2 linked regions of the Macaca fascicularis genome follow. The protein of the gene in region 2 interacts with the protein of the main gene of each other region in a pairwise test. Links are inferred from orthologs where the notes say so. Each region holds a gene or a part of one and is shown on either strand. Other genes may lie near its edges.

Evidence for each region.
Region 1: the proteins of AP1M1 (region 2) and TGOLN2 interact in a two-hybrid assay, tested with the Homo sapiens proteins (2 studies listed by BioGRID). The link is inferred for Macaca fascicularis from reciprocal best matches to the Homo sapiens genes AP1M1 and TGOLN2.

The regions. Positions count from the first base shown.
Region 1 is NC_088387.1:36,275,363-36,279,004, forward strand, and holds part of TGOLN2 (trans-Golgi network integral membrane protein 2), read left to right. Parts: exon of another isoform or gene 1-1,260; intron 1,261-1,322; coding exon 1,323-1,427; 3' UTR 1,428-1,459; exon of another isoform or gene 1,460-1,615; intron 1,616-2,559; exon of another isoform or gene 2,560-2,792; coding exon of another isoform or gene 2,793-2,932; intron 2,933-3,189; coding exon of another isoform or gene 3,190-3,349; intron 3,350-3,552; coding exon of another isoform or gene 3,553-3,642. Other genes in the region: all-trans-retinol 13,14-reductase-like, read right to left, coding at 2,793-2,932, 3,190-3,349, 3,553-3,642. UniProt on the Homo sapiens protein: May be involved in regulating membrane traffic to and from trans-Golgi network.
Region 2 is NC_088393.1:16,518,866-16,523,286, forward strand, and holds the start of AP1M1 (AP-1 complex subunit mu-1), read left to right. Parts: upstream 1-1,524; 5' UTR 1,525-1,621; coding exon 1,622-1,663; intron 1,664-4,421. UniProt on the Homo sapiens protein: Subunit of clathrin-associated adaptor protein complex 1 that plays a role in protein sorting in the trans-Golgi network (TGN) and endosomes.

The DNA of each region.
Region 1 (3,642 bases), on a different chromosome or scaffold from region 2:
ACTAGGGAGACTGAAGCAGGAGAATTGCTTGAATCCGGGAGCCGGAGGTTGCATTGAGCTGAGATCATGCCACTGCACTTCAGCCTGCCAATAGAGCGAGACTCCGCTCAAAAAAAAAAAAAAACAAAAAACACAGCACTGAAGAAAATACCACACAGCAAAGGAAAACTTATTTTCTGCAAGGTGTCTTTTCAAAGATAGAATGTTTGAAGCATGTTTCCTGGAGATTGTGTGGATGAGGGTGAGCTGGCTGAAGCGTCGTTCAAGCTGGGGGGTGTAAGAAGCACGTGCAGCCACAAGAGGCACCTCCTATAGTCAGCTAAGGGCTTCCCTTTCTGCACCCAGCTTTTGGGTGAAGGGTGATTTCTGTTAGACAAATCTGTGCTTCAGTCATAGATGTTAATAGAGGAAGCAATTTTCCTGCTGCAGATCCCTGAAGAGAGTTGCTGAAACAGTCTAGTTCCAGACTCAGGGGAGGTCGAAGGCCAGTCTGTAGAAAGGCTGAGGCAACGGGGAAAGACTTGACAGCTAGTTACATATGCTCTGACATGGTACCCCCATGATGGCTTCCAGTGACACATGTGCTGATAGAATTCTAAACCTCTGGAATTTCCCTGCTGGTTAATTCTGTGGCCCTTGACTGTACAGGGTGACCTGATGCCAGATGCTGTGGGCGTGATGAGAACTAGAGAACTTGCAGTGTGGAGGAAGCTGTGTGAGGCACCAGACCCTGTGCTTCTGCAGGCCATTTCCTGAAAACCCCTGTTAGAAAGGTTGGGTTTAGTGTGACTTGCTTGAGCAAGAGTCCTTGGGAGAGATTTTGAGGTTTAATTTAACAGTATCTCCAGAGCTAACAGTGACTCCATTCAGCTAGTTCCGCAAGTCAGATGTAAACTTAGAGTCTCCTTTGTGAAGGGTTTGGGTCTGAGCTGTATAGTACGTCAGTGGGTAAGCCCAGCCCTTCATCCTCTGATAGATACCCCTTTAATTCACCAGACTTCATGTTCGATACATTATTAATAGTTGAAATTGTTTCTCTTCTTTTGTATTTTCCCAGTTAATAGATGGCTACTGTTTCCACAATGTTTTATATTTTCAGCTTTTTGTAACTTAATTACTTAATTTTATTTTTTTAAAGCTTGTTGCGGTCTAATGAGAAGTATTTTTCAGTGCATAATGTTTTTCCGAGCTTCTGTTAATGCCATCCCAATGTAGTTTTGTTGAACAGAAACCAAAATAAATTTCAGAATGTTAAAGCAATGGATTTAATACATTATTTTATTTTATTTTATTTTAATTTTATTTTATTTTTTTTGAGATAGAGTCTTGCTCTGTCACCAGCCTGGAGTGCAGTGGTGCGATCTTGGCTCACTGCAACCTCCACCTCCCAGGTTCAAGCGATTCTCCTAACTCAGCCTCCTGAGTAGCTGGGACTACAGGTGTGCACCACCACGCCCAGGTAATTTTTGTATTTTTAGTGAAGACGCAGTTTCACCATGTTGGCCAGGATTGGTCTCAATCTCTTCCTCGTGATCCGCCCACCTCGGCCTCCCAAAGTGCTGGGATTACAGGCATGAGCCACGGCACCCGGTCAATAAATTTATGAATATTACATTAAGATGAACTACAATAAGACCTTTGGCATGTCAGTTTAACATAAGTGAAAGGTCCTTTTTATGCCTTTTGAGCCTTCCTTCACCTTCCATCCAACACACACGGTACCAGTAAATTACAGATGCCATTTCTGAGCTTTGCACACTTTCTCTGGCTTTCCATGTTCTGCTCCTGACCAACTCTCCTACCACCTGACTCCTCCCAGCCTGGCTGCCTCTGTTGCTTTCAGTAGCTGGGCCATTGCTGGGAACACTCTGTTGCCTCCCTGTGCTGTCCCCTGCTGTGCCGTTGTCTGGAATGCCTTGCAGCCTGCCTCAACACAATAAGGTAATCTTCTAACCAGTCCATGACCTGACTCCTGATGTCACCCTTCCCTGCGTCACCCTTCCCCACATATTTGGAGGATGAGGCTTGATTGAGGCTCAGGTACTGAGCTCCCTGAAGGTGCCTTGATGCTGGCACATCGAGAACCAGATGCCACCCCGATCATAAGGAAGGCAGACCCAGGACTTCCATATGAACTGGATATGATCATCTGACGTGCCCCCTAATAACTGATGGATCCCGCTGTTACTCCAAAGCTCCAGACCACACCGGCCCAGACACAGGCATTTCCCGTGCCCTGAAGAGCCACTGAACCCAGAACAAAAGAGATCTAGAGCTCTCCAAACCTATGGAATGGCAACCAAAACAATGCCCAGGTTTTGAGTTAAGCCTCATTGGTCTCCCTTCTCCCTCAACAGTGTAGAACTGTGCAGCACAGCACTAAGTGAATGAGAGCAGAAGCCTCAGGACAGAACTGAACCCACCAGCTTGAGCTGACAACACTGCCAGGCATTCTATCCACCGATGGAATTTTCTCTGATCACTGAGTGAGGAGGTATGGGTGAGCGATGCAGAGCGCTGCCTGTCATGAGACATCAAGCTATCCAAGTCAATATCCTGTTAGTAGGGACGGGATGTTATAAAAGGCATAATGATCTCACCTGCCGCAGCTGGAAGCAATGATTCCATTGCCCCAGATTCGGAATTGTGATTTAAACTAGGCCTCTCTTCAGGAATCAGAACCAAATTAGAGTGCCTTATATGTGCAAGGAACTAATGCAGAAAGACATGGGTTAAGTCAAGGGAGATGCCCCAGCCATTGGGCAGATTCCTCTGACTCCTCCCTGATGGAACTAATTCTTCTTCTTCTGTGCCTGGATCCTAGAGCCAAGATCCTTAAGGTCTGAGTACAAGTTCCGCTTCAGGATGGCACTGCTGCACAGCAGGGCACCTTGCAGGGCCCCGACCAGCCCACAGGTGAAGATATCCTGGCCTAGGAGGCAAGAGCAGAGGCCCCTGAGCGTGACCCAGGCAGGCCCAGGGGAGGGTGGGGCCCTGGTGCTCTTCCCTCCACATGAGGGCCACCCAGAGCTGGCTCCAATCAGGACCAGGGCCACAGCCTGCCCAGGCAGCCCTGCTCAGGGGATGAGAAGCTGCAGGGGACAGCAGGGCCTGAGGACAGGAAGAGAGGACATTGGGCGACAGGGGCCCAGGGTCTCAGGTCCTGACAACATGGGGCAGTGAGTATACCTGTCAGGTAGAGGTTGGGGATGGGGCTCTGGGCCCTCAAGGAGGCCATCACACGGGGGTGCAGGCGGCCCAGGTCATGGTCAGCCCCGTAGCAGGCACCTCGGGGAGCAGCCAGATAGAACTGGTTGGTGAGTGGGGATCCTGCAGTCACACTCTCCACCTGAGGGCACAAAGGGTGGGGCGGGCACGTGAGATCCTGGCTCCCCTCCCTCTTCCACTGTCTCCCATTTGCTGACTGTGGGTATGGGTGCCCTGTCCTTCCCTGGGGCTCATGTCGTGGGGCCCAATTCCCCTGTCTTTGCAAGGAAAGGGCAGAAATGGCACCATGAGGTCTGTCACCACCCCAAATATTTTACCCCCTACCTTCCCTTCCAGCTGTGGGAACAGTTTCATGACCACTGACATAGAGGCTTCCACAAAGGAGTTTTTGAAGGTCTCATAGTCACTGCCCCA
Region 2 (4,421 bases):
AATCTAAGTGGAGTCCAGGTGCTGGGGTGATTACCCTTATCTTGTCTCCTGCTAAATCATGGAGGTTTGGGGGAGTTCCTTCAAACCCCAGTAAACTTGTTTGTGGAGCCCTGAGGAGCTTCTTCAGACCTCCAATAAAGTTTGTTTAATCCTAAAAGCGTCCTGCTAAGAATTCCTTCGTTATCTTGTCATGCTCCAAGGCCCAGGAAAAGCCTAGGCACAATTCTGGGTGGGCTTTTGTTACATCCCAGCCTTTGTACAAGGGCACTGGCTCTCTCGTCTTTTAATGTTTAACTTAACCCTTGTAATCCCAGCACTTTGGGAGGCCGAGGTGGGTGGATCACCTGAGGTCAGGAGTTTGAGACCAGCCTGGCCAACATAGTGAAACCCCGTCTCTACTAAAAAGACAAAAATTAGCCGGGCGTGGTGGCATGTGCCTATAATCACAACCACTTGGGAGGCTGAGAGGCAGGAGAATTGCTTGAACCCGCGAGGCAGAGGTTGCAGTGAGCCGAGATCGTGCCACTGCACTCCAGCCTGAGTGACAGAGTGAGACTCCATCTCAAAAAAAAAAAAAAAAAAAAGCAAAAAGCCTCTCTTGGCTGCTTGCTCTGTGCCTTGTGCAAGAATCCTTCCAGCCCAGGATCACTTAGTAGTCCTCAAACATTCTAGTTTGCTTTTCTAGAGGTTCGGTCACATTTCTATCCTAAGCAAAGACTATATAATTACCGAGTTGCAAAAATCATCTCTCCAAACGCCAAAACGGAGATAGGAGGGAAAATAAAAGATGTGAGAGGCAGGCATCCTGGGTAAACCACTCTGATATTGCAGGGTTGGGATCCCCAGGGTACTGTGATGGCTAACTGGAACAGAATGCAGGTATTTCTCCAAAGCCCAAGATTTCATAAAAGCAAATTAGATATGATTCAATGGATTAATCAAGGGCCACCAGTTGCATTACCGACTACTAACTTTGCAGAAATGAAACACGGTATGCTGGGTCAAGGTTCAGTGAGACTGGTTTTCTTAACATTCCAGGCAATAAACAGGCATGCTCATTCACTGATAAAAGTTGACAATGACAGGTGGTGACTGTTGATAAGGTCTGATTGCCATTCAGAAAGTTTGACCTCTTTCCAAGTAACCACGGCCTTACCTCTCCCTTTTGAGCTTATCACAATTGGTGACTGTACACTTGTTTCATAGACTTCCCCACTAGACTGTGAGCTCCATAGGGCTGGGTCCCAGGTCGGTTTCACCACCAGGCTCTCTCGCCTAACTCGGCCGACGGGAGGCGGTTTTCAGCTGCTCTGGCTCCATAGCTCAGCCTGGCAGCGGCCAGTGGGTGCCCTGATTTGGTCGGCCCCGCCTCCCAGGGCCTTACTTCCGGGAGGCTTCAGGCGGGAGCAAGAAACATGGTCACATACAACGTAATGCGCCTGCGCAGAGTCCGTCCTGCGCCTGCGCATTCCTGGCAGCTCCTCCCGGACCGGACATAACGGTCCCCGCGCGGCTCCCCGAACCGGAAGTGGAGGTGAGCTGTCGCGGGCGGCGCCCGGCCTTGCTCAACGCCTGGCAGTCCCCACCGTCGCTGCCGCTGCCGAGGCCTCCTGCAGCCACCATGTCCGCTAGCGCCGTCTACGTGCTGGACCTGAAGGGCAAGGTAATGAAGGCTCCCCACCCTCCCTGTTGCCAGGCAACCGGCGGGGGCCTCCGCCCGCGGGGACCCACCCTGTTGCTAGGTAACCGGCTTATGAGCCCCACCCTGGTGTGAGGCAAAGAGGCCGGTAGACCTCACCTGAGAGCCCCACCCTATTTCTGGGTAACCGGGCGGGGGTCGTAAGTGGGTAATCCACGCCCTGTTGCTAGGTAACGCGGTGGGCTGCAGCCACCGCGTTGCCAGGTAACCGACTGCACCGCCCTCTGCTCCCAGGCACCCGGGCCAGAGGCTCTGGGCTCGGTGGAGGACCCAGAAGCGGGGCCGCAGCCGGCCTTGGAGCCAGGCAGGGTGTCCAGGGGCTGCGCGACCCTTGGCCGGGGGTGGCGAGGCGTGGCGGGGACTGGGTGCTCTCCAGCCAGTCCCGCCCTCTCAGGGCGTTGCAGCTTCTGTTTATCGTGCACTTTCTCTCAGGAGGAATTTCTCCACGTTCATTGCGATAGTGAGTTACAAGGGTTAGGTGAGTGGATGGTGATCACGAGTACCGTTTTATAGAGGGAGAAACTGAGGCACGGAGAGGTGAAGTAACCTGACCAAGGTCACAATGGTCACAGAGAAGTAGGAAGTCTAGGAGTCCGATCCAGAAGCATTTGTTTATTTAGCTGATATCTGGGGAGCACCTACTAATGCCAGGCAGGATAGTAAGCCTGGGGTCGATTTGTGTTTAGCAAAAAACAATCCTGCTTTTTTTTTTTTCTTTTTGAGATAGTGTCATGCTCAGTCGTCCAGTCTGGAGTGCAGTGGTGCGATCTCCACTCACTGCAACCTCTGCCTCCTGGGTTCAAGCAATTCTCCTGCCTCAGCCTCCCAAGTAGCTGGCATTACAGGCACCTGCCACCACGCCCAGCTAAATTTTGTATTTTTAGTAGAGACAGGGTTTCACCATGTTGACCAGGCTGGTCTCGAACTCTTGACCTCAAGTGATCCAGCTGTCTCAGCCTCCCAAAGTGCTAGGATTACAGGCGTGAGTCACTGTGCCAGGGCTCAACAATCTGTGTTCTTATGACGTTCACAGGCTGATTGGGGAGATGGATACCGATCTCCAAAAACACAAATAAATGTCAGTTGCAGTGGGGGGGTGGGGCGGATGTGTTATACAGACGGTCAGCCTCAGCCAGAGGATGAGAGAGGGTTTTCCTAAGGAGGGGTGACAAATGGACCTGAGATACCAGGGAGCTGGACATAGACTAGAACCCGGGCATCTTCCCCAGAGGATCTGAGAAAACTGAAAGAAGGGATTGTCCCCGCCTTTTAGAAATGGTCCTCTGCCTTCTCCCAAGTCCATCCCAGGTACAAGGCAAGTGGCTGCCTGGCCTGTTGCATGTGGAAGCAACAAGCACCGGTCCAACAATGTTAAACCCAACATTGGTCAGTGAGAGAAACAAACGTGGGTGTCAGGTCCTAGGTGAGGCGGGCAGGGGTGAGCCCTAAAGCAGCTGAGAGTGAAGAGGTGAAGTGGCTGCCCCTTCCTGTCCCACCCCACCCCCACACTTTCCTGAAGTCCCTTGAGTGGGTGCCTGCCCTGGAAGCCAACCAAAGCCAATAACTGGTGAGATCCAGTGCTGGGTTTCCTTCCCCCGCCTTCTTGGAAGCAGGGAAGACACCCGTCTTAGATCACGCCAGGGGCTGGGTGTGTGCAGTGTACCCTGAGTCCTGGTGACATGAGTCTTGCTTCCGCACTGGCCACTGCCTCCCCAGAGGTGCCAGCGGGCTGCCTGTCTTGGCTGGCTTATTCCTTCAGCAAACATTTCATGAGCACCTAGGATGCACCCTGTCCTGTGCCAGGCATAGGGTGTCCATTGGCACCGTGGCTGTGGTGTTAGGGCTGAGCTCAAAACCCATCTCTGCTGCTCAGCTGTGTGACCTGGGACAGGCACCTTCTCTCTGAGCCTCGCTTTCCTCACTGGTCAAAAGAGGCTTTCATGGAGTTATTGTGCAGATTTGCCGAGCAGATGTGTGAGACAGGCTCAGCACCACCCATGGTCCATGTTAGCTTTCCCAGGCCTCTCGGTCTAGCAGGGGAGTCCTCTAGAAGCAGAGACATTACCACACAGTTGGATCCAGGCAGCCACAGGGGCAGGAACAAGGTCCCAAGTCCTGCAGTTGCTCAACCTCGTCTTTAGCCAGTGGAAGGTGGAGGTGGTTATGAAAGGCTCCCTGGAAGAGGGCAACGCCGGAAGTGGGTTTGGAAGGTGATCAGGCACGATCTGGTGGAAAAGAGGTATTGCAAGGGGCAGCCTGCTGGGGCCGCTGAGCCAGAAGTCCTGGCTAATGCTGAGATGGGAGAGAGGGACCAAGGGGACCACTTCATTTCCAACAAGGAGCCACCGTGAGGAGACCATAGCCCAGAGAGGCATGATCAGACCTGCCTTTCAGAAAGCTCCCCAAGGCAGCCATGGGCTTCCCTCCCTCCCTCTGCAACCATGATGCCCTTTCTTATTCCACAATCCACGGACCTCCTGTTTCCAAAGTCGGCCTCGTGAGCCGACTGCATTTCATCAAAAATAAAGCACACTGAGAAATTCGTGGCCACGTGTCTGGTCACCGAGGACACTGGCGTGGCCACACTGGGCTGGAAGGAAGCTCTCCTAGTAGGAAGCTTCTCCGCTTTATCTAGCTGGCTTCTTACACCACTAACCACCACTAACCACCTCCTCTTCAGCGCTCCCTTCCGCTTCCGGGAGGCTGCGCTCGGGGGTTTCCT